Linked DNA regions of Tamandua tetradactyla. The protein of the gene in region 1 interacts with the protein of each later gene in a biochemical or structural test. Links are inferred from orthologs where the notes say so. Each region holds a gene or a part of one and is shown on either strand. Other genes may lie near its edges.

Evidence for each region.
Region 2: the proteins of BTRC (region 1) and UBE2R2 form a complex in vitro, tested with the Homo sapiens proteins (2 studies listed by BioGRID). The link is inferred for Tamandua tetradactyla from reciprocal best matches to the Homo sapiens genes BTRC and UBE2R2.
Region 3: of the proteins of BTRC (region 1) and WEE1, one has a biochemical effect on the other in vitro, tested with the Homo sapiens proteins (2 studies listed by BioGRID, with this or other methods). The link is inferred for Tamandua tetradactyla from reciprocal best matches to the Homo sapiens genes BTRC and WEE1.
Region 4: of the proteins of BTRC (region 1) and CDC25A, one has a biochemical effect on the other in vitro, tested with the Homo sapiens proteins (3 studies listed by BioGRID and IntAct, with this or other methods). The link is inferred for Tamandua tetradactyla from reciprocal best matches to the Homo sapiens genes BTRC and CDC25A.

Annotation. Positions count from the first base shown.
Region 1 is NC_135339.1:62,880,809-62,888,357, forward strand, and holds the start of BTRC (F-box/WD repeat-containing protein 1A), read left to right. Parts: upstream 1-4,534; 5' UTR 4,535-4,641; coding exon 4,642-4,689; intron 4,690-4,968; exon of another isoform or gene 4,969-5,099; intron 5,100-5,783; exon of another isoform or gene 5,784-6,941; coding exon of another isoform or gene 6,942-6,951; intron 6,952-7,549. UniProt on the Homo sapiens protein: Substrate recognition component of a SCF (SKP1-CUL1-F-box protein) E3 ubiquitin-protein ligase complex which mediates the ubiquitination and subsequent proteasomal degradation of target proteins. Recognizes and binds to phosphorylated target proteins.
Region 2 is NC_135328.1:62,250,060-62,257,622, reverse strand, and holds the start of UBE2R2 (ubiquitin-conjugating enzyme E2 R2), read left to right. Parts: upstream 1-4,560; 5' UTR 4,561-4,578; coding exon 4,579-4,755; intron 4,756-7,563. UniProt on the Homo sapiens protein: E2 ubiquitin-conjugating enzyme that accepts ubiquitin from an E1 ubiquitin-activating protein, and catalyzes its covalent attachment to other proteins by an E3 ubiquitin-protein ligase complex.
Region 3 is NC_135334.1:84,082,892-84,090,526, forward strand, and holds the start of WEE1 (wee1-like protein kinase), read left to right. Parts: upstream 1-4,633; 5' UTR 4,634-4,930; coding exon 4,931-5,506; intron 5,507-5,667; exon of another isoform or gene 5,668-5,797; intron 5,798-5,824; exon of another isoform or gene 5,825-6,389; intron 6,390-6,942; coding exon 6,943-7,148; intron 7,149-7,635. UniProt on the Homo sapiens protein: Acts as a negative regulator of entry into mitosis (G2 to M transition) by protecting the nucleus from cytoplasmically activated cyclin B1-complexed CDK1 before the onset of mitosis by mediating phosphorylation of CDK1 on 'Tyr-15'.
Region 4 is NC_135341.1:38,163,593-38,170,830, forward strand, and holds the start of CDC25A (M-phase inducer phosphatase 1), read left to right. Parts: upstream 1-4,226; 5' UTR 4,227-4,280; coding exon 4,281-4,450; intron 4,451-5,459; coding exon 5,460-5,536; intron 5,537-6,897; coding exon 6,898-6,940; intron 6,941-7,238. UniProt on the Homo sapiens protein: Tyrosine protein phosphatase which functions as a dosage-dependent inducer of mitotic progression. Directly dephosphorylates CDK1 and stimulates its kinase activity. Also dephosphorylates CDK2 in complex with cyclin-E, in vitro.

The DNA.
Region 1 (7,549 bases):
CATTATTGACATTAGAGGAGTGAGTCTTAATGAGGACAGGGAAATGAAGAGAAGTATGTGTGTGTGTATGTGTGTGTGTATGTGTGTGGCACTCTTTCTTTAGGGCCCAGCTAAAAGTGTATCTCTCTATCTGACTGAAATGTAAATAACCTTTCCCACTTCCTCTGGACCTCTTGACCCTAGGATTAAGTCTATCAGATATTCAAATAGTTGATGGTGTTTTTTACTGTTTGTTTTAAAATTAGATAATGACTTTGCTTCCAGTCAATCTTGGGCAGCCCTTGGCAATCCTTAGAAAATGTAGTTTTTTAGAGAGGGGAGGGAAAGGTAATTCTAGAATTTCCTAGAATTTGGAAAGCAAGTTAGGCTTGGAAGGGGACTCTAGATAGCAGAGGTCAGCAAGAAGGCACTGGACACCTAAACGCCAAGGCAGTGGTCTCAAACTTGACTGCAGATTAGAACCACCTGCGGGTCTTTTAAAACAACCATCACCCAGGACCACCCACAGATCTTATTCAATCAGAATAGCTGAGTGGTAGCAGAGGTGTGTGACTGTGGGTAGAGTTTGGGCATCAACATTGTTTATAAAGCTCCTCAAGTGACTCTACTGTGCAGTTAGGGTTGAGAATCCTACCAGATTTAGGAGAGGGGATGCTAAGGGAAGAGGAAAAAGCACAGGCATGTGTGGAATATTTCTGGCTTTGGCCTATTTGTTAATCACCAAACGCATACTGGGGGGTGAGGTTTAGAAGAGCAGATTCAAGTGCTTAAAGAAAGGCAAGATCATTATGAGTTGAGGGTTACCTAGAGAAGCGATAATTTGCAGACTGGCAACAAAAAAAGTTAGATAATTCCAATGGTGACAGAGAAGTGACATCCTCCCACACTGCTCATGGAATTGGAGAATGTTATGGCCTTTCTGTACTGTGATTTGGCACCACATAGTCAAATTAGGTATCCTTAGGCTACAAACCAGTAATTATGGTTGTGGGTATAAATTCCCAAAGATACTCTTACTCATGGGACATGTAGGCAGTGGGTCACTACAGTGCTATTTGGGGCAACTGGATTCTGGAGGCTTTGCTGGAGAGTGGATAGGTAAAACTTGGGAGATGTCATCATCAGAATATTAGCAGTTAGAAGCAACAAGTTAGATGTACACATGGAAACACGAAAGGTTTTTTTCTTTTTACTGGGGAAAGGCTTTATTATATTACTTAAGATTTAAATTTAAGATTGGTTTTTATCATGTCTAACTGAACATATGGAACATATGGTGTCCGTAGTTACAATTAGAGGCGGTTTGGATGACATCATTATAAAAAGCTCAGTGTTTTTTTATTTCCAGAATTTTTCTGCCCCTAAAGATTCATGGGAAGATGATCAATATCTTAAGAAGAGAAGAAGCATTCTACCTGCACAAGCATGCCTTGAAGATATTGCCAGTTTGGTTTGTAGACCACTGCAATAAAGCGAATATTGCAATAAAGCAAGTCACATGAATTTTTGGTATTCTAGTGTATATAAAAGTTATGTTTATAAACTGTACTGTAGTCTATAAGTGTGTGGTAGCATTTTGTCTAAAATATCAATGTTTATACCTTAATTAAAAAAAAACTGTAAAAACAAACGAACAAACACATTTATTGTTAAAAATGCTAAACTTGGGGGCAGGGGGTGCAAGGGTAGTTCAGTGGTAGAATTCTCGCCTGCCATGCGGGGGACCAGGGTTTAATTCCCAGCCCATGCACTTCCCGAAAAGCAAACAAACAAGCAAAGAAAGAAAGAAACAAATACCCAACAAATGATGCTGCAATAACTGGATACCCATATGGAAAAAGAATGAAAGGTGATGCCTGCCACACAGCATAACAAAAACAAAACAAAATAAAAAACAAACAAACAAAAAAACCCAGGAAAAATGCTAACCACGATCTGAACCTTTAGTGAATTATAATCCTTTTGCTGGTAGAGAGTCTTGCCTCAATTAATGGCTTCTGACTGATCAGGTTGGTGGTGGTTGAAGATTGGTGTGGCTGTGCCAATTTCTTAAAATAGGACAACAATGAAGTTTGCTACATCAATTGACTCTTCCTTTTACCTTAACTCTTAGAGCACATTGTAGGGTTATTATTTGGTCTAATTTCAATATTGTTGTGTCTCAGGGAATAGGAAGACCATGTTGTTTACCAAGCTAGACTTTCATTAAAATCACAATGGGGTCATCAGGTCTAATGCTTTAGTTCTGGCTGTCGTAGTGAACAGATCTTTCCTGGTGGTGGCTGGTCAGGACATGGAAGTCCGTGCTCCGCCAGGAAAGAGTTTTTGAAAACCATAGGTACAGGGTGCAAAATGTATGAAACAATGAGATACATATAAAACAAAATTACATCTGTGAATTAAAAATATAGCATACAAAGCATCTATTTTGCAAGAACCATATAAACAAACAAAAAGGAAACATTGCCTATGGGGGAGGAAAAAGGGGTAGAACTGAAAGAGATATCTGATATCTATAACTGGTTGAATACGGAAGCTAAAGGACAAGGGTGGGTCAAATAGTACTCTCAGCTCTTAAGCTAGGAGAATGGGAGCAAGGAATCTAGGAGAAGCGATTTTTCATGTTAGAAGTCCAGTTTTCCAGTAAAGTGGAGCTTTAAAAAGGTTCTAATGATTCAGTATTTTCTGTGAGCAACTGTGCCAAAAGCAAGCTCATAGATGCATACTGTTTTCAGTTGGCAGAGAACTTTGTTTTCTAGATGACAAAAGAGAGGGCCAAAGTGGTTTGGTTAATTACCCAAAGTCTACCAATTAACTGATGAAAGTGGGGGCTAGAATCAAGTCTCTCAACTTCCAGTCCAATGATCTTTCCTAAAACCTGAGTTTTCCTTAAAAATTAAGACAGTTCATATTTGGATTTCTGTTTGCCTGACCATGACTGGTTCATTTTAAAGAAGGAGGATTTACTTTTTCTGTGGACTGCCTCTGCCAACTGACTTTCTGCTTAGATTCCCAGCTGGTTGGGCTTTTAAACAAAAACTCTTTGAATTTGCTTTACTAATCCTCATCTGTACCTGCTTGGACAAAGTGAGGATTGTCACTGACCGCCAGCTTCATCAGGCAATGTTTTCATACTCTCGTACAGATAATAAAGTAAAAAAAAGTGACTGTTCAACTTCAGAGGTGTTTTAGTTTTCTAGGCTGCTCAAGGCAAATACCATGGGTTGAGTTAAAAAAAAAATAGGAATTTATTTGCTCACAGTTGAGGCTGGGAAAATGTCCAAATCAAGGTTTCATCAAGGAGATACTTTCTTCTCCAAGATTGACTGCTAGCAATCCTTGGCTCCTCTGCCACTTGGCAAGGCACATGGCGGTGTCTGCTTATTGCTGTCTTCTCTCTTTCCCTGTTTTCAGGTTCTTGCTTCTGTGGTTTTCGCTTTGTCTTGCTTGTGTTTATAAGGGATTCTAATAAGCTTAAGACCAATCCTGAATGAGGTGTGTCACACCTTAACTGAAGAAGCCTCATCAAAAGGCTGTTTACAATGGGTTCACATCACAGGAATGGATTAACTTAAAGAACATATTTTTCTGGAGTACATACAGCTCCAAACCACTACAAAAGTTTTTTTCTTTTTTTTTTTTAAGTGGAGAGTTTAATTCATTTACAAGTAATATTGAAAATGTAGGACTTGAGCTATTTTGCTATTTGGCTTTTGTAAGTCTTATACCTCTTTTGTCCTTCAATTTTTCCATTAGTTGCCTACTTTTGTATTTAGTTGATCTTTTGTAGTGACCCATTTAGAATCCCTTCTCATTTCCTTCTGTGCATACTTCTTAGATATTTTCTTTGTGGTTTCAATGGGGCTTAAATTTGACTTACCTGAGCTCTAAACACCAGAGAATTTTCTCATTTGAGTTCTGCCTGGCCCTGTCTTGTTGTGAGAGAGACTAGGTTCCTCGGAGAGGTGTGGAGTGACAGTTTGGGTAGACTTTTAAATTTAGTAGTGGGTTGGAGGTGCTGCCAGGTGCCCATAGAGCCAGCAATTCTGGGTCTCAATCCCTCCTGCAGAAGTGAGATATATGAAATTTGGGTTTGACCAGCTCTCCACATTGAAAGTTAGAGAGGTCCTAGCACCCCCGAGTCTTGTAACATTTTTTCCCAGTATGTGGGTTACTGGTGAGGCTCTTTCTGGCCACCATCTTGATGGCAAATGCTAAGCAAGCCGCCACCGGCGTCGCACGTTAACCACGGAGATAATCTGTGCATCCTCCCGTTTTCTATCCTAGAGGCTGTGAACTACAATTCCCATCAGCCGTTTTTCCCTAGTTGACCACGAGTTGTCTAAACTTTGCTTATCGACAAAGGCAAACCTGCGGCAATGAACAGCGGGAGTCGGGACTCTTGGTTGCCTCACTTACTGCAGCGGGAAGCTCCAGAACTACAAATCCCTTGAGCCACAGGGTTTACGCATGCGCACAGCACAAGCGGGGGGGGTCCCTGACCCCCCCCACGCCGGTGCCTAAGAGGTAAGAGAGGGCGGGGGAAGGAAGAGGAGGCGGGATCCGGGCGCTGCGTTGGCTGAGGCCTGGCACTAAGGGGGCGGCCCCGGTTGAGAGCAGACCCAGCGGCCCCGGGAGATTATGGACCCGGCCGAGGCGGTGCTGCAGGAGAAAGCGCTCAAGTTTATGGTGAGGAGGAGGGGCCGGCCGGGGAACAGTGGAAGCGGTGGCGTTGGTGGCGTCGCTAGGAGTCGGGCCTGGGCCGCCCGCCGTCCGGGGGAAGGGACCCGGGCACTCCGAGCCTAGGCCGGCAGCCGAAGCGGCTGGAGGGCCGGGACCGGAGCTCCGGGGAGGCGGGAGGGGGTTGCGGAGCAGACCCGGGGGTGGGGGCAGCAGCTCCGCCATCTTGTGGATGAGAGGCCGAGTGACAGCGGGGAGCTTAATCGGGGAGGGGGCTCCGGGCCGCGCGCGGGGCCCTGGAGGGAAAGGGGCGTGGGGACAGTTACTGAAGAGCGGAGAAAGCTCGGAGGATAGACTCTGCGTGGCCGCTGGCAGGGCCTTCCCGGTGTCAGGGTCACGGATAAGGCCCAGGAAAGAAGGTACATTCCAGCGTGGGGAAGCGGAGCGCGGGTGGGTGGGAGGACAGATATTGAGGGTAGGTGGAAAATGGGCAGACCTAGATGAAGATGGATCTAAGGGTGGAGGAGGGAAACCAGGGCTGTTGGGAGGCGTGTAGAATTGTAGAATGAAGTGGGAGATAGCATTTGCCCTGAGGCTAAATCTTATCTTAAGCCAAACTAGTGTTGACAAACTCTGGAAAGGAGGAGGCCTTATTTAGGAAGATAAGGATGGAGATGGTGACCTAGGGCGATGATAACAGCCCTTGGGAAAGGAGGGTGGTGTTGACTGTGGGCCAAATTACAAATGACAGGAAAAGGGGTATATACTCAGAAAGGAAAGGCTGTATATATAATATTATATATATTAGGAATAAGGTGATGAAAAGCAAGAGGCTGATTTGTCAGGGAAATATGGGTATAGGAGATTGGGGGAAAATTAAGATCTAATAAGGTAAAACAAAACTTAGAGCTAAATTGTGGAGGTAGTGAACTGTAGGGGTGGGGACCTGTACGATGTTCTGGGAAAGGAAAGGGCATGTAGATTAGAATTGCAAAGACTCCTAAGAAGCAATGAGAAGAGTGGAGAAATTCAGAAAATGAAAGTGGGGTTGTAGGTAGTAGAGAATGGGAGGTAAATCAGGATGGGGGGTTGGTTACCCATCAGTTTTAGGTTGAAGCACAATGTTTGCATGGATTGGATTTTGTGGGTGTGCTGGAAACTCTTGCTTTAGAGCCGATTTCTTTAACTTTGTATCATGCTTTTCTTTTTCTATGCTTATGTTTGGGAAATTTGTGTAGTCTGATATTTGATGCTTTTAATCTGATACTTCTTGTATATCCTAAGTGTAAAGCCAGACTTGATGGTTTCAGCTAGAGTGAGGGGATACATAGATTTCTAGTTTAGCAGGTGGCTTTAGGGACATGGGTGTCATTTGCAGTCAAGTCTTACTTTTTCAAAAGTAATTGTAACCTGCACTCCAAACCTTATTCCTTTGTTAGATAGTTTCTATTTTGTACCCTTGCTGGAAATAGTATAACAACTTCAAATCTAAATAAACATGTATCACTAACCTGGATTGAATTTAGGCTTTAAACTGCCCCATTTACAAAAATGTTGTTCAAGAGACTGGTCCAGTTTACAAAGTCTTTGTGTTAGGTCTTTCAGAAACACCTGATTAAAGTTTGACTATCAAAAACAAGAATACATTAAGCTTGAAGAAGGTTCTTGAATTTCTGCCCAATGTTGAAGAGAAACTTGAAATTTTTTTGGACTTTAGTAGAGGAAATTGCTTGATTTCGTTACCCAGCTTCTAGATTTATTTTCAGTTAGAAAAGTGGCAGATGCTTACTTTTGTTTCCCTGCTTAGAGGGTTGACTCTTAATCTTCATCCTGACACTGTGTCACATTTATGGAATAATGTGATTTATAGATCATAAAGAGACATTATGAGATCATTTTCTTAACTTCCCATTAGACCTCAGCCTATGAACATTCTCAACTGCTTGATTTCTGTTTTGTACCAGTGAGACATGTTTCCATAATGGGCTCGTGATTGAATTATATTGGACCTGGAAATGGCCATGTCGTAGTTCACAGCTTTTGGGGTACCATACATTATTAAATGTTGAGTCAGTTTCCATAGGGAGAAATCAGTTTTTCTTTAATTTGACTTTCATTTTTTATCTTACTTGTCACTGTGGCTGTTGTTTGAGAAAAGGCCAACTTGAAGAGGGTAACCAAAAATGACACCTTAATAACTGAAGCAGACCTCGGAGAACCAGAGATACGGTCTTCTCTTTCAGCTCAGTAACGCTCTAATTATGAATCTGAGTAAGTCCATTTGGTCCCATCCACCCTGCTATAACATGCTTGTTTATTCAGAATGAATTTTGAGATAGGAAGATAATTTATTTGCGCTTGCCCCAAGCAATTAGTATACAGTACATATGGAAAGGTTAGCCTTTTAATCAAATTGGAATTTTTGTGTAGTATTTGACTTTGTTCTGGCTGCTATCCTTTCCCTCAATTGTGAATTACTGATCATAACTTTTGTACAAATGCCTTGATTTCTCTAGTTTAGAAAGATGTAAAATTTGTTTAAAATGTCAATAGGAAATGAATACTCTCTTTGACGAATTTTAGTCATGACCACATTAATGTAGTGCTTTGTTTAGGAATTTTACAATAAAATCTTATTATGAGACTACTAATCCATAGTGGGCTGTTTAAGTCACATATGATCTAGACTTAAAGCTTATCCTTATCTACTTGTGAAAAATACTTTAAGCAGGGGTGCATGGGTAGCTTAGTGGTTAGAATGCCCACCTTTCATGTGGGAGACCCGGGTTCAAGTCCCGGACCATGCACCACCCCCTAAAAAAAAAAAGCTTTAAGCAGAATATTAGGGTCTAAAAACAAATAAATCATA
Region 2 (7,563 bases), on another chromosome or scaffold:
TGATTCTGTGTTCGCCATGTGCCCTTCCAGATGAGAGAGGAACCCTGACTGTGTTCACCATGTGCCTTCTCACTTGAGAGAGAAACCCTGAACTTCATTGGCCTTCTTGAACCAAGGTATCTTTCCCTAGATGCCTTAGATTGGACATTTCTATAGACTTGTTTTAATTGGGACATTTTCTCAGACTTGAAACTGTAAACTAGCAACTTATTAAATTCCCCTTTTTAAAAGCCATTCTGTTTCTGGTATATTGCATTCCAGCAACTAGCAAACTAGAACACCATCTAAAATGGCATTACACCCCTTAGGCCCCCCCTTTAACCACCTTTAAAAGTACTCACCAAAACTTGCAACATTATTTGTGTATTACCTAATTGTTTTTGTCAGTTTTTGCATCAGCCACTAGAATGTACGTTCAAATAGTGCATGGTTCAATCACTTCTGTCTCATACTATTATTATTTTGGGAACTTAGCACAGGACCGTCACAAACACTCAATAAATATGTGTTTAAAGAAGGAATGAATGAATGGGTCTTTTCCAAGAGCACAGAAAGGCTGGGAGAAAAAAGTAAACAAATAATTGCAGTATAGTGTGGTGTATGTGGGTTGTTATGATAGGAACAGCATGCTGCAGTACATTAGGAAAAATAGAGCATGGTGATTCAGAGCAGTCACCCTGAAGAAGGATGGCTGAGGTTCAACTGCAGGTTCTATGTTTACTAGTTGTGTGACATTGGGCAACTTTCCTTACCTCTTTAAGCTTTGGTTTACTCATTGGTAAAATAGAGATTCTAGTAACAGCCATGTCATTGGTTTAATGAGGATTTAAAGGGACAATGCATGTAAAATGTCTGTGCCATAGTGATGCTCAGCAAATGCCAGTTATAATCATTAGAAGAAATGTGTGGCCCCTTAAGAGCAGTGCCCAAATCTTACACAGTTGGTGTCATGTTGAATGAATGAAAAAAAATTGGCTTCTTAGAATCATTCTGTAAAGCCAAAATCAACATTTCTAAAGCAAATACCAATACCCTCCCTCCATTTATCTTGCCAAGATTTCCATATTTTTTCTATCTGGAAGAAAGGAAATAGATTGTTCAGGAGCACCCTGCTTAGAGAGTAGCAGGTGATGCAACAGACTGGGCCTAGGCATCTAACTAAAACATCAGTTACCACCAGAGGGCACCAGCCAGTGAAGTCAATCTATTTATGTCTTAAATCTATGGCATTACGAGATGAGAAAGCTCTAAGAGGCTGTTTCTGCCATTCATCCTTTTGATAAATGTTTTGAGCCCCTACTATATGCCAAGCAGTGTAGTAGCTCGCATATGGTTATGAATAAGACCTGTTATCCTTATGGAATTTCTAACCTTGAGCACCTTTTATGTGCCCAAGAGATCATATTAGGCATGGGAGTGGGAGTTCAATTTGTTACTTTTTTTGTTACTGATTGTCTTCCTGCCTTTGGCTGTGAGTCCATGAGAACAATTACTTTAGTGTCTAATTGTGTTTGACAGTGTGTTGGTTGCTGAGGATATATAGATGAATAAGACACAGTTGCAGTCTACTAATGAACAATGTCTTATGTGCTACAATAAAATGACATGAAACTGGTTCTGTGGAATTCCAGTTCTTCTGACCTAAGGATGGAAAGTCTCGAGTACACAGTTCACTAATCAACTAGGCTGTGAGTCTCCCAGACAAATGAGTTTGTCAGCTACCCAACTTTGGGTGATGCCCAAATGGATGTTTAATATGAGTCTGCCAGTTGATGTGAGCTAAAGGAGCAGTTTTAGGTCTGGATGCCAAATATATATTCAAGTGGGTTAGGCTAGGGATTCACCATCCTTTGGATTAGGGTGGAGCTGTGACGAATTTATGTGGGTGAAATGCTTTGAAGATGAAGTTTCTGCCTATTTGTCTGTTCAGAGCCTTGTTATTAAAGGTGTCAACATTACCTCCCACATTTCCGGGTCAGCAAACTTCTTGTACCCAAAGTGAGGGGGAGGGGAAGCCAGAACCAGTCATACAATATCATTTTTGTGAGAAGGAGCTACATTGACTCGAGTTTTCTGCCTTTTCTGAGGGGAGCTCTAAGTTCGGTTGTGTTTGGTGCCAAGACCTAGGGGAGTGGTTGGGGTCTAGAGAATTATCCTTTAATTAAAATACTGAGACCCCCATCTTTGAGAAAAATGAACAAAAAAATGAATGGGATCCTTTAAATGTTGGGCTGCACATAGTGACTTCCTTCCAAAGGGTATCGTATAGAAAGGAGAAAAAAGTAGACTTTTTTTTTTCTCAAAGGAGAAGCTTGACAAATACCAGTCAGATGATCAAGGTGAATGCTGTGACAAATCATATTGATAGTATGTACCTTTGATATGATATGATGTGATGAAAATGGCACTTTATCATTGTGATCTTCATCCCAGAGATACATAACTGTAGTCTAATTAGGAGAAAAATGTCACACAAATCCCAATTGAGGGCCAGTCTACAAAATACCTCACCAATATTCCTGAAAACTGTCAAGGTCATAAAAAACAAGGAAAGTCTGAGAAATTGCAACAGCCCAAAGGAAGGCGCCTAAAGAGACACGATAATTAAATGTGATGTGGTGTCCTAGATAGGATCTGGAACAGAAAAAGGACATTAGGTAAAAACTAAGGAAAGCTGAATAATGTATGGATTTTAGTTAATAATGATGTTCATTAATTGTAATAAATGTACCATATTAGTGTAAGATATTAATAATGGGGGAAACTGGATGACGTTTATGGGAATTCTCTGTACTATTTCTCATTGGTAAATCTAAAACTTTAAAAAGTCTATTTTTAAAACAAAACAAAGGAAGTGGTGTTCAGAATACAACTGTGACGCTTAATTTTTTTCTTTCTTTCAAGGTCCTATTTATGGATCATTTACGACGTCAGTCATTATGCTAAACGCTGTACATAAATCTCTTTTGATCATCACAATTGCTTGTTAGGTATAATTAACCTCCTTTAGAGACGCTGATGATACAGAGGTAATGTAAATGATGGAGCCAGGGCTGGAACCAAGACTTCAGATAGTAAAATTCTGAGTGTGTGGAGCCCTCACAGTATCCCGGCTTTTCTAGGAAACATCTAGGCAAATTTAATAGAAAGTGCCTTTCTAAAGAAAGGGGTATACAAAAATCAAGGGCACTGAAGACTGTCCTCACATCTCACCTCAATCATGATTATCTTAAAAGCCCGTCACTTCCAGGTTGGATTTTGAAGCTGAAAGGGGTCAAAGTCAGAACATGGTATTTTACAAATGGGCAAACTGAGGGGCAGTGAGAATACTTGCCCCAAAGTACACAGAAAATGATCAGGAACCGAGGTTCAGCCTCTAGCACTATTTTTCTCTCTCTTTTTAACCCCCCTTCAACTTCCTCTTTGTAGTTAAGAAGGGAAGTAGGAGCTATCTGTCTTCCTCAATTTCTCGGGTCGGAAACTCTCCCTCCCCCAGGTAAGTGACTTGCCCAAGGACCCTCCGGCATGAGGACCGAAAGTTCGTGCCGGGGAGACGTGGTGAAGTTGATGTCATCACAATACCCACATTCAAAGCACATCCTTCTCAATCACCTACTGGGTGTAGGGCCCGCATACTGAGGGCCTCGGGGAGGGCCTGCGGGGTCCCTGGACTCGTCAGGGAATGTGTGCGGAGGCCGAACGTTCTCGTCGGTACCTAGTAGGAGGGCGCTGATAGCTCTTGGATCTGAGGTCCCTTTGCGGGAGCGCCTGTGGAACCCCGGCGTTGAGCTTCACTACCTTGATTTTATGGCCAACGTTGTCCCTTGCGGCCACCCTAGGCCCCCACCCGCGGCCAACGTCACAAAGCGCCGCCACGGCGCGGGGCTGTGGAGGAGGCGGGGATCTGGGAGGAGGAGGGCGAGGAGGGCAGGGAGGGCGGGGGAGGGAGGGGCGCGCGCACGCGCGTCGGGCCGCCAGCCGCTGCGAGCCACCCTCTCCGGGCGCGCGCCCCTCCTCCCTCCCTGCTTCTTCTGGGCTCTGTCGCTCCCGCGGCGCGAGGCGCTCTTGCTTCTCTCCTCCTCCGTCGCCCCTCCCCCCGCGCAGCCGCCGCCACCGCGAGACCCTCGCGTGCCGCCCTCCCCCTCCCACCTGGGCCCCGGCAGACCCCCTGGAGAACGAGAGGGCGAGCGAGCGCCGCGTTCCCGGGCCAGCACCCTCCCCTCACCGTCGCCAGCCCTCCACCGCCTTCCTCCGCCTCCACCTCCTCGACCCCCCCCCCCCCCAGCTGAGGCCCCCTCGGGGGGGGGAGGCCCCAGACCCGGAGCGAATTCCCCCTAACTCCCTCGACCCCTCCCCCCCGCCCGTCCAAGTGTGAGGAGAAGGGCCCGGCCCGGCCCGCGTCGCGTGTGAGGAGGACTCCGGACCGGCCCGCGGGCCGTCTGGGGCCTGGTCCGGCCCGCCGGGTGTGTGAAGACAGGGGCCCGGCGCGGCCCGGCCCGAGGGCAAGCGGAGGGGAGGGGCCTGCTCCGGCCCGGCGGGTGCGTGAGGACTGGGGCCCGGGCCGGTGCCACCGCCGCGATGGCCCAGCAGCAGATGACCAGCTCGCAGAAGGCCCTGATGCTCGAGCTGAAATCCCTGCAGGAGGAACCGGTGGAGGGCTTCCGGATCACCCTGGTGGATGAGTCCGACCTCTACAACTGGGAGGTGGCCATCTTCGGACCCCCCAACACCCTCTACGAAGGCGGCTACTTCAAGGTACCTTTCCCCCTTCCCGGACCTGGCTTTCCCCGGCCGAGTCTTCTGCTCCTCGTTCGGTTTCATCTGTTTTCGGGGCTAGAAGTGGGAGCGCGTGTGAGTGGAGGGGGCTCCTCACCTCGGCAGCCCCCTCCCCCCATCCGTGGAGGCAGGAAGGCCTTGCTCACGAAGTGCCTTTTCTTTGTCATGGGGGCGGGGGCGGGAGGGGAGGCCAGACTGCGCTGGGAAATAGAAAAAGTCTCTTTTTGGCTAGGGTAGTAGAGAACGGAGAAGGAGGGCTGTCTTTGTTTCCCCAGCTGAGGGTGTATGGAAAGAAAGGTAGTTTGTCTTTTCTATCTCCTTCTCCCATCAGAATCATCCCTGCGTAGGCTGGAACTGCCCCAGAGGGCAGGGTGACCTGCACTTATTGGGTTTTTCTTTTTTTGGGGTGCGGGTGGGGGTGGGGACATTAGCCTGTCATCCCAGAGGCTGTCTAGTGACCTGACATTTTGAGGATTTGTTGGGATTCTTGGCTATTGGTAGTTCCAAGTTTGCATTCCAGTGGGCGGTAATGAAGAATAGGACCCTGGGGGTGGTGGGGAAAAAAAGGGTGCCTACGTTTTCTTGCCATTATCCAGTTGAGGGAACTTTATCTAGACCTTTTTCTGACCTGGTTCTCTATTTACTTCAGTAGTGTTTCGAAATGCCCTTTGTCCTCCCCCTGCCACCAACTTTACTGGCATTTTTTTCTATATGTACAGGAGTGGAGACAAAATTGAAACCTTTTACTCAGGTAGTTAACTCTAGCAAATGGGGTGATCTCACAGTAGAAAATTATCTTTGGAGGTGAGGTGGTTTCACAGGGTGGGTTGGCTCCTTATACAGCCAACAAAGAAGTTGTCTGTTCTCTATGATTTAGAACAGTGGTTATGATCATTCCTGAATCTAGTGTTTTTGTTTTTACTCTTAATATAGGTATCTTGAAGATACTAAATTTTTATTTTATTTTAGAGTTTTTGGCGAGACAATCACAAATTGAAGATTTGAATGTTTTAATTGACAGGAAATGAGTGCTTAGGAATTCATTTAATTTAGTTTTTTTATTTCCAAAATTAAGTAAAATAGATCAGTGAGTCAGTTTTAGTTTGTTTTGAAGGGAGGGACTATCTTGGCACAGGTTTTAAATGAGTATCTTAGTCATGTAGTTATGATGTGTATTTTTAGGACTACCCAATTACTTAACTCTTGTTTTCTACCCTTCTAAAGGTAGAAGCCTCAGTTTCAGGCTTGAAATTCTGTCCACTTTTGTAGACCCTTTGAAGGATTGATGCCATAATGTCTAATATTCATGCCTGTGGTGATGATTCAACAACCTAGTAAGAGCAGATTTTTAGAGTACTGTGTAAGAGAGGTATCCTTACCAACTGTGCTTTGTGGTTAGCGTGCAGCATTCTTTTCACATACAGATATTCAAAATCACTAAGTAAATATACAAGTTGTTTGTGATAGATTGAAGAAGGGTAGTCCTGTGTCCATGTTGAGGCCTCATTTTACTACTGTTATTAAATATAAATATAAATTTTTGTTTATGGATACTGGAAAATTATTTACACAAAATGGAATTTATTTGACAATTTTTCTAGCAAAATTATTTAGCAAAATCTACTGACTAACTTTAGCAGAATAAAGATTAATTTCTTAAAAAGTATCATAGTTTGGGACAGTTGACAGTCAAATAAATAGGTGCTAGTTAGAATAATTGCTCTAATGCTGTTTGTTTAAAAAAGTGTGAAAGAAAATAATAGGCTATAAATTATAGTAGATTAGATAAATTTTGCCTAAATTACTAGGGAAGGAGTATGGAGAAACCTGGCAGTTCAGAATAGATTGTATGGAAGAAAGATTCCTTAGAACAGTCATTGATTTAAATTAAACACTTTTAGTGCTGCTTAAAAAAAAGATTTAATCTCAATTTCATTGTATGTGTTAGATTTCCTAATCTTTCAGGTTTTCTTTACCTTTAATTCTGATATGTGAAAAAAAAATTCTTTAAAAAAATTCTTGAAGTTGTCATGTTTTAGTGTTTGAGAAGTTTGTTCAATTAATTGTATTTTCTTCTATTATTTTCCTCATTGATTGCCCTTTTATCCCATTAGCCCTTTATAATAAAGAGGAGTTAACACAGGTGATAGGTTTAAAACCATTGTTTAGTAGTTCACTACTTTTGACTCAAAACAAAACTTGCCCTGCTATTGCACTACAGCTGCAATTAAAAAGTTGGCACAGAGCTTTCCCTGCCATTATTCTCTTCCCTTATCAAATGTTAGTCCTTTAACATTTAGTATAATTTATTTTTAACTTAAATGCTTCTGTATTTTGCATAATAATTTGTGAAGGCTATGGAACTGTCATTCTTTAAGTTTTCCATATAACAGTACTTTTATATACCAGTAGACTACTAATTGATCTTTTTCCCCATGAAATAGTTGACTCTAGTTTGTTTTAACTAGAAGTTCTGTTGTGGAGACTTGTGAGACATGTATTTCACAATTTTTAAAAATTCATTCTGCTTTTTTTTTTTTTTTAATAATTCTAATCCTTGTGATTCTTAGTTTTGGGGTTATGAATGTGTGTTGGGTAAGGTAGTTTCTTGTGTCTATTCTGCACATATGAAAATATTTTTTGATTTTGCTCTCTTTTTGTCCACTTAATCTTATTGACCTTCTGAATTTCTTTGCTGCTTGGAATTTTTCCTCTAGGGGTCATTTGTGTACAAAAGACAAAGTAGGAGATGGTTTAGAACACTGAGAAAATCCCTGAACTTGATTT
Region 3 (7,635 bases), on another chromosome or scaffold:
GATCATTCTGTTCTACATATATAATCAGTAATTCACAATATCATCACATAGTTGCATATTCATCATCATGATAATTTCTTAGAACATTTGCATCTATTCAGAAAAAGAAATAAAATGAAAACAGAAAAAAATATTTATACATAGCATACTCCCCTTACCCCTCCCTTTCATTGATCACTAGCATTTCAACCTAAATTATTTTAACATTTGTTTCCCCTATTATTTATTTTTATTCCATATATTCTACTCATCTATTGACAAAGTAGATAAAAGGAGCATCAGACACAAGGTTTTCACAATCATACAGTCACATTGTGAAAACTATATCATTATACAATCATCTTCAAGAAACATGGCTACTGGAACACAGCTCTACATTTTTAGGCAGTTCCCTCCAGCCTCTCCATTACATCTTAGTTAACAAGGTGATATCTACTTAATATGTAAGAATAACCTCCAGGATAACCTCTCGACTCTGTTTGGAATCTCTCAGCCATTGGCACTTTGTCTCATTTCACTCTTCCCCCTTTTGGTCCAGAAGGTTTTCTCAATCCCTTGATGCTGGGTCTCAGCTCATTCTAGGATTTCTGTCCCACGTTGCCAGGAAGGTCCACACCCCTTGGAGTTATGTCCCACATAGACAGGGGGAGGGCAGTGAGTTTGCCTGTTGTGTTGGCTAGAGTGAGAGGCCACATCTGAGCAACAAAAGAGGTTCTCTTGGGGGTAACTCTTAGGCCTAATTTAAGTAGGCTTGACCTATCCTTCGTGGGGTTAAGTTTCATATGAACAACCCCTAAGACTGTGGGCTCAGCCTATAGCTTTGATTGTTCACACCTCTTGTAAGAATATCAAGAATTCTACTTGGGGAAGTTGAATTTTCCCCCATTCTCACCATTCCCCAAAGGGGACTTTGCAAATACTTTTTTAGAAGAACTGAAATTTGACCATGATTGAAAAATAAATAAATAAATAAGCCATCAGAGTAGGCTTTTGCTTAGAGAAAATGACTATTTTTCCAGAATCAAAAGTGTAAACTAGAAAAATTTCAGCTTTGGGTAAAGCTTGGCTAATCTTATGAAACATTCCTACACACTCTACAGCACTACAAAAAATTAGTTCCTAGTTTTGAAGGATCTTTCATTCAAAAGTACAAGGTTTATGTTAATGAATATATACACATGTATATTTTACTTTTTATGTACATGTATTCATGTGTTGTATAAAAAGTATTTGAGAGGATGATTTAGGAATCTTACTTATAAATCTTCAGAGTAGGAATCTTGCTCCTCTTGCTGCTAAGTAGGTTAAACAGGCTGACAATAGTGATAGTAAAGTCTTTTACTTGCTAAGTCATCTGTCTAAAGAGAATAAACAGGTTTAGTTGGTTCTCCCAAGAGCTCCAGGCAAGAATTTTTACTCAGTTATCACATTACCACAAGTGAGTGGATTCTGCAAAAGTTGCCTAGCAACATTACATTAAAAACAACAGTGGGCAGTGGGCGGGGAAAGAAACTTGAAATTAGAGATGCCTGGGGGCAGGTGGGTGTAACCCATCTCTCCAGTACAGTGAGTCCTGTACTGGAAGAGCCTGAAATTAAAAAATAAGAACAGTCATTTAAAAGTTTCAGTTAGAACAATGCTTCAATTAAACCATAACATTGTGCCATTTTCTCAGCTTGGAGGAGGCAGGGCCTGATTTCTTACTCATTTTGGCACTTTTGTTTTAAAGATAAGTAGATTTTTATTCAATGATCCAGACATGTTTATTAAAGCAACATCTTAGGGGACCAGATTTTTTATTCAGTTATACAGAAACATTTATTAAGCACCATCTCAGGGGTCAAGGTACAGTGCTGATTGCTGGAGCTCTAAAGACAAATACAACTTGGTCTGGCCTGGAGTGGGAAGGAATCCAGACAAGTAAACAAAGAAAGAGTGTTACAAGGTCCATGCCCGGTGAGGTGGAAAGTCTGGAACAGGGAATATCAATTTTACCTGGAAGTGGACAGAGTCAAGGACAGGTTTCATAGAGGAGCTGGCTCTAGCACTGAGTCTTGTTTCAACTTTTAGTCCTTCTTTTCCCTAGTCATTCCACATATTTGTTGAGAACTTAGCTTTCCCATTGTGTGTGAGAACCTGGCTGCCAAGAATTCAAAGTACTGGAACTGTGGACCAAGAGCTCTTCTCTTCCAATCCGGAACCCAGGGCTTTTAACCCAGAACCTCAAAGACCTCTCAGTTTAGGGAAGCCAATAGGTGGGAAAGAATTGACCAAAACAAAAAAACAAAAACAAACTGCTTAAAAGTGTTTACCTGCAGGGAAAGGATTTAGGCTGAGGGCTGGCTGGGGATTGAAGGGGTAGGTAGGGAACTTCTGTGCCATTTGAATTTATATTATTTGAGAGAAAACGAAATTTTAAAAAAGACCACGGAGGAAAAAAATGAGTCATGTGATGTGTACTAACCTCTACAAACTATTATCGAATAGAAGAGTAATCTTCTGTTCAAAATCTTAAATAAGCATGACAGGCTAACATGTCATTCAGAAACAAATGATTCAAATATTTAAGTAAAGGCTCTATTCATCACTCAGTAGATAATGTGCACCTAAAACCATCAGAATACTGCAACAAACAAGATAGAAAAGGTCCATATCTTTAGGTATTTGGTTTTCTAGAAAGGGATAGTAATAAACAACCCAAATAACTTTTAAAATATAGGCCTGTTAAGGAAATAAAGCAAGATGAGAAAGAGTGACTGGGGGGGGGGGGGGTGGGACTTGTTAAGATTGCAGGGTTAGCAATAGGGGATCCAGAATTCTCACACAGAAGGGGCTTGGGAGTAGCAATCCAGTTGGGGGAGATGTCTAAAGGGCTTTAAAGTTCAAATTTTACAAGGAAGCACGTTATTTTTACATTCAAGTTTCAGATCAATTTTAAAAAATAGAAGTTTCTATAATCATTTTTATTTACACTTCATATAAAACTGAGAAAACATCAGATACCCAAATCAAAGAACAGTGTTTGTCATCTAGGCTGACAGGAGGAAAGGGTTAAAGGGAAGGTGCTAAAAACCACTTCATGGCTTTCCTTGAAATGAACCAAAGTGTAGCATTCTTGTCCTCCAAGAGCTTAAAATCCAGTTTGGAATAACATACAAAAAGGACACAATTATACATCAGTTAGCAAATGTTTGGAGAAGATAGATGCAGGCCTTTCACTGTGTCTTCAGTTATGTGAGCTCAGGGAATTTTCCCATGTGGTAAGTGTTAAGTACTGACCACTGTTTTCCTTAAAAAAAAAAATCAAGCTTGAGTTTAACCTTTGCAAAGTGCTAAAATAACATACATGGCCAAGTGTTAATATCCATAAAATGCTACGATAAGAAAAAGAGACAATAGAAATAAGTGTAAATGACTACTAAGCCCATGTAAACTGTCCAACAAATCAAAACAAATCTACCCACCCACTTATACCCAGAACTCACAGCCTGAGAATGTAAGTTGTTTTTTTCTGGAGGGCAGTTGGGCAGTTTATATTCTTTGACCAGTAACTTTCACTTCTGGGAATTTATTGTAAAAAAAAAAAATAATTAGAAAACAAACAATCCGGAGGGGGGAAAACCCACGTGTAAAAGGAAGAATATTCACCAGTTATTTCCAACTGAAAATTTGCAAGAAACTTTTATATGTGGCAATGAGGGACTGATTAAACCATAATATGACAGAGAACTAGGGGAATTTTTTCTCTAGTTATGTTTAAGTTTGCGGTGAGTTAGGCCAATCTTTTTTTTTTTTAATGCCAACACTTGCCCACCTACTGGCGAACAAATATAAACACATACAAACGTGGCAGACATTTGGCTCTGCGCTGGGGCCGACCGTGGCGCTGTTTATATTTACCGTGGATAAGTGAGTGGCGGAGGGGACCACGGGCTGGGGGAGTTCACCTAGCTACATACACGCTCGACCCTAACAAACATACACCGGGGAAACTGAGGCTCAGAAGCGGCCACCACAGCCAGTGTTCCCGCCTCAAGAACTCGCGTGTTCTTGCTGAATTTGGGTGTCCGTCCTAACCGCATCGGTTCACACAGTTCAGAAAGTTACTGAGGCCGAAGACGCCATTCCGGGTTCAGACCACGACCAAGAAGCGTGACCGTCTAGACTCCCGCCCACAACGCCCATCAGCCGTCACCAGGGCGGCAGGCCGGCCCCCGGGGCTGCGCCCGAGCTGCAAGGCCGCCGATGACCGACCCGGTTCGCAAGAACCCTGACGCACTCCCGCGTCGCCGGTCCCTTCAATCCCCCGGGCCCCGGCGGAGCAGCGAGGAGGCGCTTCTAGTCCCGCGTCCGGAACGGGCTTGGCGAACGAAGCTCCTTTCGCTTCTTTCTGGAGGCCGCTTCCGCTCCCGGTTGTTGCTTGGTCTGGGCGGCGCCCGCCGGGCCCCCGGCACCCCGGCCTCGCTCATAGGCCGCCGCGCTGCGGCCCGCCCAAAGCCCAGCCTGAAGCCAAGTGGGAGGCGGAGCTAGCGGGTTCGCGCCAAAATCGCGTAGCTGGCCCCACCCCCACGGGCTACGTCGCGCCCTCCTTTTTTTTCAAACCCGGGCCTGGGCGGGGATTGGTGGATTGGGAACTCACGTGGTTAACGGTCGCGGGAAGCCGCGGAGCCCGAACCTGCGGCTGGACCTGCGGAGACCCCAGCCTTGGTGCCTGTGTCCCGCTTGTGCTGGACTGTCCACGCCGCCACCAACCGACACCATCGCCCGCAGCCGGAGCGCCCCGGAGCCGCAGACCCCAGCAGCGCGGACTCGCAACAGCAGCGACCGGGCGCACCCAGTCGCACGTGGCGGACCCGCCCCCTAGGCCGGCTGTGTCCTGGACTCTGCAGGCCCCGGCTCTCCGGCCCTCGGCCCAGGCCCCAGGAGCGCTATGAGCTTCCTGAGTCGGCAGCAGCCGCCACCGCCCCGCCGCGCCGGGGTCTCCTGCACCTTGCGACAGAAGCTGATCTTCTCGCCCTGCAGCGACTGTGAAGAGGAGGAGGAGGAAGAAGAGGAGGAGGGCAGCGGCCACAGCACCGGGGAGGACTCAGCCTTTCAGGAGCCTGATTCGCCGCTGCCGCCCGCGCGGAGCCCCACGGAGGCCGGGCCCGAACTCCACCGCTCCCCCGGCCCGGCCCCCGGCAGCCCCGGGGAGCTGGAGGAGGACATGCTGCTACAGGGCGCCTCCCCAGGAGCGGACGCGGCGGGCGGCGGGGCCGAGGGCGACTCGTGGGAAGAGGAGGGCTTTGGCTCCTCGTCGCCGGTCAAGTCGCCGGCGGCCGCCTACTTCCTAGTCAGCTCGTTCTCCCCGGTGCGCTGCGGCGGTCCAGGGGATGCGTCCCCGCGGGGCTGCGGGGCGCGCCGGGCAGGCGATGGCCCCTGCTCGCCGGCGCCCGACTATCCCGGCACCCCTCCGCACAAGACCTTCCGCAAGCTGCGGCTCTTCGACACGCCGCACACCCCCAAGGTGAGAGCACTGGGCGGGTGGGGCCTAGCCGACCGACCTGGGCGCCCGGGTCCCGCGCAGGCCGAGCCTTTTAAAAAGGCCGCGGCGCCAGGAGCGGAGCTGGGCGCTGTCTGGGTTCAGTTACATAACCTCCCGGCCGCACCCCCGCTCCCTTTCCTGCGCCGCAGCACGAAGTTGGCAGCCCCTCTTTTGGGCCCTGCCCAGAAGTTGTCCGTTAAGATTATGTAACTGAACAATGAGCCTCGTCTGGAACTTCTTCATCCTTCAAAGGGGCTGATCGGCGCCGTCCAGGTGGCTGAGGATTTAACGCCCTTTGAGCGTGTCAGCCTGGAGTGTGGCACCGATAACGTGGTTTGGAACGGGTGCTGGCGCCGTGCTGGCCTGGCCACCTGACACTCCCGAGCGCCGCGGCCATATGGTGCCTTTTAAACGCACTGGTCTGCCCTGTAATTTGGGCGGCGAGCGCAGAAGGAATTCGATTTTAAGAAATCTTCATTCGCTTATCGTTTCATGTCCTGGGAGGGGGAGTTTGAAGTATGAAGGGAGACTGTGCCTTGACTTGGCAGAAGAGGCTGACGCATTTAAAGTGTTAAAAGACTCATTAAAAAACCGCAACGTAGCATTTCACTCTCTTTCCCGACGTGATGTTGGAAAAGCGTTTGTTTATACCCTTGGGTTCCTATTGCCCACGTTTGATTGGCCTGCGTGTGATGATCAGTAACTTCCAACTCCTAAAAGCCGGCGGTAGTATTGTTGCTTGAGCCCTTTTGCGTTTATACAAATCATAATTTATCTTGAAGAAGTAGGTGTTTGTGAAGCGGCCAGTGTGTGTGCCGATTACCGTTTTTAAAACAGTTCTTAAAACAAAAAGACACTTATTAGGGTAAGTTTCGCATTTGTAAGATTAATATGGAAAATGTACCTTTTCAAGTGAGTCACTCAATTTTGTGTCTGATATACGGGTAGTCACAAACCTCAGGAATAACGTGTACTTTGAGTTTAACTGTTTATTAGCCGACTAGCTCAAGGCAAAATCCCCTTGAAAGTGAGGGGAGGAGTCGAGCAGTGGAGGAATTCGAGGCCTTATTTAGATGGGGGAGGGGAGCTTTTATGGGGCTCCCTGACTGCTTTCTATTTTTAGACATTGAGAGAGTTTAATTTTTAGTTACTGGAATGAACTTAATTTTAGTCAGCACTCAGTTTCTTTGTAGGATTGGAAACCGACTTTACTTTCCTATCCCTTTCAGAAAAGGCGGTTATTTTTCAACCTAAGTTAGCCAGTGTTTATTTTGCCTGAAAAATAAATATAACAAAGACTTGTGTGTTACTTTGACCTCCACATTCAGTCATGTGAAAGGCTTGTTGAAGGGTAGGTTGGGAAGCCTGACTGTATAGGACTTGAAGCCTAAAAAATTTTTTTATATTTCCTTCCCTAGAGTTTGCTCTCCAAAGCTCGAGGAATTGATTCCAGCTCTGTTAAACACCGGGGTGGTTCTCTATTCATGAATTCAGAAAAATCAGGAAGAAGGGAATTTGACATGCGGCAGACTCCTCAAGTCAACATTAATCCTTTTACTCCAGATTCTGTGTTGCTTCATTCTTCAGGACAGTGTCGTCGAAGAAAGAGAACATATTGGAATGAGTAGGTCCTTTCTTATTATTCAGCAGTTTGGTTCCTCAAACCACCTAAGATTTTCAAACTCATCACAATTTAATTTCAACTGAATGGCATGAAGTTTGTACACTGAAATTTTTTCTATTACTAGTATGTAATTCTCAGAGTTGAGGTAGAAATAATCAACTGTGGAAAAGGATTGGTGTGAGAAAGGAAGATATAAAAAGTCTAGATAGCTTGTAGAAATCTACTTGTGTCAAAAATGAGAGAAAGGCAGCAGGCAAGCAGATTTGACTTAGAAAGGCTTTAACTTTGATGAGTGGTGGTTTTGATGTGTGATTGGTTTTTAACCAACCAGTTACCTTCTGGTTGGTAGTGAGCAAATCAGCAGGGAAAACGTTTTCATCAGCTGGGTTGAATCTTGTGATTGTAAAAATAACTGCTTTTTCTGCCTTTATCCCATTGAAATTCCATTTCACTATACATTTCTCAGATGAAACTTTGGATCTGTCAG
Region 4 (7,238 bases), on another chromosome or scaffold:
ATGACTCACTAGTGGGTCATAACATTAATTTTAGTGGCTCGTGTTTTTTTTTTAAAGTGAAACAATAAAACAGGAAATAGTATATTACATGTAGCATGAGTAATTTATTTGTTGAGAATCTTTTGAGATGTGAGTTGCTTGTGTGCTCTGGCTATGGCTCCAAAGACCCTGCTTTAAGCAACGGAGAGTCCTTGAAACAGAGGGTGGAGGAGGAGATCAGATTTGCATTTAGAAAGAACACTAGGGTTTTAGAGCTCAATGGAAGACTTAGGAGTCTGCTGATACAATGAGGAAGAGGAAGGGTAGATGGAGGTACTATATCCTCTCATGGGGACAGTGAAGGATAATGGGTTTGGAAGGAAAGAGAAATCGATTTACAACAAGTAGAGCTTGAGTTGCCAGTGGGTCATTCTGGGTGGATTCAGAGAAGGAGCTGGGGTTGAGGAGGGAGACTTCAATTGAGTATAAAGACTTGGGAGTTCTCTGGGATGAGGGAGAAAGGTACAGAAGTACTGGGGGTAGGTGAGATGTCTAGGAAGCACTCATGAAGGAATGTGGGCTATCCTAGAGCAAACACTTAGACATGAGATAGGATGTAGCCTGTGATCCAAATATAATCTGACAAAGCTCGTTATTCAGCATAACCCAGGGCAAATTCTAATTATGTTTTAGAACCATGTAATCTCTGGGTTGCTTTTTTTTTTTTTTTTTAAACTCTCTGGGGTTTGATGACCTTAAAGCTCATGTAGGTCAGTGGTTCAAATCTGTTCAAATCTGTTTCAGAACAATTCAGACAGCTTTCTGAACATATGGATTCCAGGGACCCACATCAGGCCAAATCAAAATATCTGAGACACCGGAGGATCTATATTTCAGAAAAAGCCCTCCACACACACACACCCCAAATTGGTAGTCATTAAAAAAAGAACTCTACCTGCTGATATTGAACTATACCCAAGATACACAAAGTAAAAAAGAGTGAGGTTCAGGATAGTTTATAATAAGCTATTATGCATGTAAAAATAAACTGTGTGGAGAATATGTACCTATACTTGTTAGCATAAGCACAGGCTCTAAGGGATAAAAAAAAATTGACTGCAGCGCTGACCTATGGGGAGGAGACAGGGCTGAGGACAGGGAGGAGAGGGAGACATTTTACCCTAGGCCTTTGTTTGGTATCACCTGGATTTGTACATTGTAAATGGATTACTTACTCAATAAATAAATAATTGCATAAAAGCTAAAGTTCCCCAGATGATTCTGATGTAGGATCAATATTCGAGAAAACCTAACTGTAGGTATCCCTCCTCACTCTGCAACATCTAGGACAGTGGACATACAGCCTCCTGGATTGCTCATTTCACTTTGGAAAGCTCTGTTAGTTCTGACTTGACTTCTTGGTGCTGATTTTAAACCTTCTAGCCTCCAAGGAGGCTCATGCTGAACCGTAACCATGCAGAAAAATTCCAATCTTGCTACCAGCAGAGTTGTGTGAAAGAAGAATGGGCATGTGTAAAATACTGAATCAGAGAAAGGATGTTTATTTCTCTACAGAAAATAAGTCTTATAAATTGATGGAAAAAGTGCTTTTTGTTTGTTTGTCTGTTTAGCACTGGGAATACCTATTTCAAATAAACTATACACGGCATTGCAATATACAATGCAGATTAAAAGGCCAAGCTGCTATGGTATGACAGGGAGCAACCCCTGATTGAATAAGGAGTCTGGAGCCCTGCTGGGCTTAGTGGTTCAAGACACAATTGTGGTCCATCTCTCATATCACCCGCATGAAGGCATTAACCCCTCCCCAGTTCAAGTTACCATTCTATTTTACAAGGACTGTTGGGAATCCTTTCCACACTCTACCTTTGCCCTTTTTTAATCCATTCTCCACTCCCAGGGTTATCTTTTTAAAATGTAAATGCAAACCTTTTGATCTTTTTCCCATTGCTCTTGGGGCAATGTCCAAATTCCAAAATGTGGCCTATAAATCTTGCCCACTTTTCCAACTTCCTCTCTTCCACTTGCTCTCTGCCAAAGCCACACTCAAGGGGCTCCTTACAGCCTCAGGGCCTTTACATAGGGCCTGCTCCTCTGCTCAGAAAGTTCTTTCCCCCATGAAGACTTATCCTTCTGATCAATTCCTCAGGGATTCTCTGACACATCAGACTAGATCAGATTCCCTCTCAGACACCCTCAAAGCACTCACACTTTGTCTTTGTAGCACTTAATCAGCATGTACTGAGGGGTCCCCTGATGCAGGCATGGCCTGAGGTGCTGCAGATACTACAGTAGGGAAAAGGAAAGGTAGGGTCTCTGCCCCTACTGAGTTTCTAATCAATTGGGAGTACTCAACCCAATAAAATAATCATAGAAACAAATGTAAAGGTGTGAGGAGTGCTCTTCAGGAATGGAACAAGGAGCCTAGAGGGTGGAGATAACAGAAGAATCTATCAGTCAGGGCAGAGCTTACCTGAGAAGGGGAAGGAGGCAAGGAGGGCCTTTCACTCCTGTATTTGACCACGAAATAAATACCAGTTGTACATTTACAGTGAATGTACACACACAAAAAAAGTTGAAAATGTTGACAGCTTTCTTTAGAAGTGGTAAGATTACAGATGATTTTTTAAATTATGCTTATTTTCTAATTCAATCATGATTTTGCATTATTTGCAAAAGTTGAAAAGTTTTTTAAAATAAATCTTTAATTGTAGTTCTTGAGCAGAGGTAATGGGCATCATCTGTACCAGACATTAAAATCCCCTACACAAATATGCAATCCCAAATAAGCAGATGTGCTCTAAAAATGCTGTCTCAAGACAAGTTCTTCCGCACTTGATTAATGCACATTTATTAAAACCATTCTAGGTACCACCGCTGGTGTAGCGGCCATAAAAATAAATACGGTCACCTATAAAGTGGCATAATGATTCCTATCTCACAGAGTTGTTTTAAAGTCGAAATGAATAGAGGAAAAGCATTGGAACAGTACCTGGTACACAATAAGCACTATATAAGCACTAGCTATTATTACTTTTACTAGTATTGCTATTTACCAGCTCTCATTTGGTAAAAAAGGGCTAAGGATAAAAAAATTACTCTAAGAGAACACAGAAGGCTTATAATGCTGAGGCCTGCAGCCCAGTGTGGTCGAAAACCTTTCAGATGAAGCTGACATCTGCAAAATCATGGTGGTTGAGGGGGTTCCTAGCACCAGAAAGTGAGGGAATGAGGCCTGTTTTAGAGTTGCTCTATCAATTTTAGTTCAGTCACTCAATTCCCTCCCTTGTTATAAAGCTGGGACACAGCGGCGCCTGAGGAAAGGAAAGAGGTCGAGTAAGGCTGGGTCTTGCCTAGTCGGCCAGACCTCCAGAAGCTCTGGTCTGATTTCTCTAGCCTCTACATTCCCCCGGGGCGTGGGGTGCGGGGCGGGGGCCAGGGACAAGGTCGACGCGGCCTAACGAGGTTAAAAGATACAGGACTGCCGCGCGGGCCGTGAAAGGACGCTGTTGGGCCGGAGGGGCCAGGAAGAACTACACTTCCCAGCATTCAACTCGGCCGGCGCCTCGCAGAACCTGTTGGGAGTTTTCATTGACCTTTGCTCCCCCTCTCGTTTCAACCCGCCCCGGTCTCCTCTGGGCCCCGCCCCTTTCTGAGAGCGGGTGACCTCGCAAAGCCCCGCGACCTGCTTCCTTCCTCCCCTTTCATTGGTCCAACCTAGCTGCCAATCGAGAGCAAGAAGGAGAAGTTATTTACTGATTGGTGGATACCGTTTGGCGCCAACTAGGAAAGGGAGGCGGGGCAGCGGCAGACCCCAGAGAGCAGCTACTACTGCGAAAGGCATCCTCCTCTGTGGCAGTCCCGGTAGGAGGTGAAGGTCTGCTTCTTGTTTAGTGACTCCGGGTTGGGCAAGGGTGTGAGGAAAAAAGAGTAGTGTGTGAGCCCAGGCCGTTGCCTCGCGGCTCTCTCTCGCCCTCCCTTTCCGACACGCAGCGTTTGTTTGAATTTAATCTTAAGATTGCCGGCGCCCGCCCGCCCGCCGGCCTCGCGGAGTAAGGTTGGGGACACCCGTGCTTGTAGCTGGCACCTGCCTGGTCCAGACACCCGCCCGGCCGCGCCGCTTGCCGGCGGCTGGCGGCCTCCCTGAACCGTAGGGTCGTGTTTGTGTTTGACCCACAAGTGCCGGCGGCGGGTCGCGCGGCGGAGGCCGGTGCCGGCGGGGCGAGGCGGGCGCGGTGGAGGCGGAGGAAAAGGGAGCCCTGGGGAGTCTGGGCGCCGCCATGGAACTGGGCCCGGAGCCCCCGCACCGTCGCCGTCTGCTCTTCGCCTGCAGCTCCCCTCCAGCACCTCCGCCTGTAGTGAAGGCGCTCTTCGGTACGCCTGCCGCCGGAGGGCTGTCGCCTGTCACCAACCTGACGGTCACCATGGACCAACTGCAGGGGCTGGGCAGGTGAGCAGGGGACCAGCGAGCAGCACCCTAGGCTGCGGGCCTGTCGGGCGGCCCTCGGGGAGATTAGCTGGAAGAGAGGCGCGATCAGCCCTCCTGGGTTCGCCGCTCCGGGGCGGCAGGGCCTAGCTCCGGTCCCGCCATGTGCACTCTCCCCACGGGCGGAATGTTGGGCGGGAGAAGCCGTTCGGACCCTCCAGGGATCCCCTGAGCCCTGAGCCAGGCCCGGTAAGGGGTGGGGAAGCCCCGGCCTTCGCTACCTCTTTTTGGTTACCCTGTACCCCGCTTCTCTTACCTCCCTATTTCAGAAAGCTCTTTGGAACCTTTCCCGAAGGGGCAAAAGCATGCCCTCCTGGGCGCCACTTCCACCGTTTGCTGAACCTCGCAGGATCTTAGTTTCCTGTGAGCTTTGTTCCTTCCCAACAAAGGGACCTGGCATTTTCTTTCCTGGAGTTGGTGCAACATCATCGCAGTTCTTGTCCCATGCGCATTCTTGATGGTCACTCCTTTGCTTTCCAAGGCCAGGCTTTTACCCAACCTCTTCACTGAAAACTCCCGGGATTTTCCTTATAGACCAAAAAAAAAGGGCCCAACAGTGTTTCTGGTGAAGCTGCTTTTTCTCCAGTCTTGGGCACCCTTCTTTCTGTCTAAATACACGTCTTGTTAGCTTCGCAGTCTTTGAAAAGCAAGAACTCTGTCCTATTCCTTTTTAATCCCTACTCCTAGTACAGTGCTTAGAACGCATGTTCTCATTTCAGGAACTATTCCAGCGTTTGTTGTAGTCATATCATACGGTGTGGTCCATATGCACCCACAGCTTTCTACGTTCCTTTTATGCTCAAATGCAAACTTGGTGCTCTGCGTGGAAAAATAGGATCCATGTGGTGTCATGCAAGTAATGGTGGTTCGTGACAGTCTGGGCATTTGCTAATCTTGTGGCCTGCCCCTTGTATTTAATCTTTAATTAATTCCTAGAAATAGTTCATGTAGAATGATTTTATCTTGGTTGCAGTGAGTATGAACAACCTGTGGAGGTGAAGAACAGTAGCAGTCTGCAGAGAATGGGCTCCTCCGAGTCAACAGATTCAGGTATTCTTTCAGCCTTCAGCAAGCATCGTGTGTATGCTTGGGGGTGTGGGGAGATAGATGGTGAGCAACACAGGGGGTTTGCTGAAACAATGATCTTTTACCAAGGGACTTCGCAAATGGTATTAAGAACAATTTGAAGGAACCCCTGTGTCAGTTCATAATGAGAGAAAACAAGTTTAAGTGTTTGCAAGCAATAGGTGTGGCTGGGTCTTCAAAGATGAATAATATGAGCACTGTACCACTCTAAGTGACATTTAGAAAATCTCATTGATTAAAATGTGGGATTGGGCAGTGCAACTGTAGCTCAGTGTCAGAATTCTCACCTGCCATGCCAGAGATCCAGGTTCGATTCCCAGAGCCTGTCCATGATCCCCGCCCCCCCCCCAAATGTGGTATCAAATTATTGGAAGTAAAATGAAATGGAGTGAGTTTGCTCTGGAGGAAAGGTGCCAGTAATACGTTTGGTGTTACTCTGGGATTTATCTATATCTGCACAGACAAGAACATTTGGGGCACAGCTTTAGGTTAGAGGACTCAAGAGCAAATGTCTTTAAATGTAGGGTTCTTGAGAACTGGGGAAAGAATTATTTGTGGCAGTGGGGCAAGCAAGAATACCAATCAGGAGTTGACACCTAGTTTTCCTATGAGACTTAGATGTCAGCAGGGACAGAGGTGTGCACTAAGCAGGCACTGTTGGGTTTTGGCCATTCTGAGACTGGCACATGGTAACATGAGTAGGGTCTTCTTTGCCCTACTGTCCTTGGGGAGATGGACATCCTCCTCAGTGCCATTCTGTTGAAATACATGCCTTATGTGTCATATGACTTATGATTTATATTTTCCACACCAAATTTATGCATGCGATCTGACAAGATAAAATATTCAAAATAAAAAAAATATCCAGAGAAATCTGCCAATTATTTTTTCTATGGTTGGAACTCAGGGAAATTTACCTGGGTCACCTTTATCTGAATACTAAGCAGTCATGATGTGAATTAGTTTAACTCACCTCCTCAACTCCTATTTCCCATCATGGTAATTGCAAGTAGAAGAGAATCAGTAGATAAACTCCAGTCAAATAAACTGGGCTTCAATTCTGGCAAAAGTACAGTTTGAGGGTTTTTGTTGACTGAATTAAGAAACCAGATTTATTTATTTTAATGATAAAATAGTGTTTCATGTATGATTTCCTGGGATTTAAACACTTTGAAAGCATAAGAGACAATATTTGAAGTGGAAAAGTGAGATTCAGCAGGTAAATGGAAGCTCCTGTCAAAGGAATGAGGAATGTTTATAGAGTAACTTGAGTTGCAGAGATTGATGGCAAATACAAGCACTTTTTTTTTTTTAATTTCCCACAGGCTTCTGTCTGGATTCTCCTGGGCCCTTGGACAGTAAAGAAAAGTATGTATTCACTGCTTTTAAATGTTTGTGCTTAGGAAAAAGTTTTTTTTTTAATTTGTAAATGAAATTCTCACTCTCTGGCCTGGAGCCCTGGATTGAGCAGTCCCTATCAGATTTCCAGATCCTATAAACAGTCTGGTATCTTTTGAGGAGTGATTTATGTCAACAATTTACAGAACCATCCCTCCTTTATTTTAGCTTGTAATTCTGGTATTCTGATCAGGTCTCACCCAAACCCCTTCACTCTATGTCGTCATAGCCTTGAAAACATTTGTGTTTTAAGAGATCTGGGTTTGTT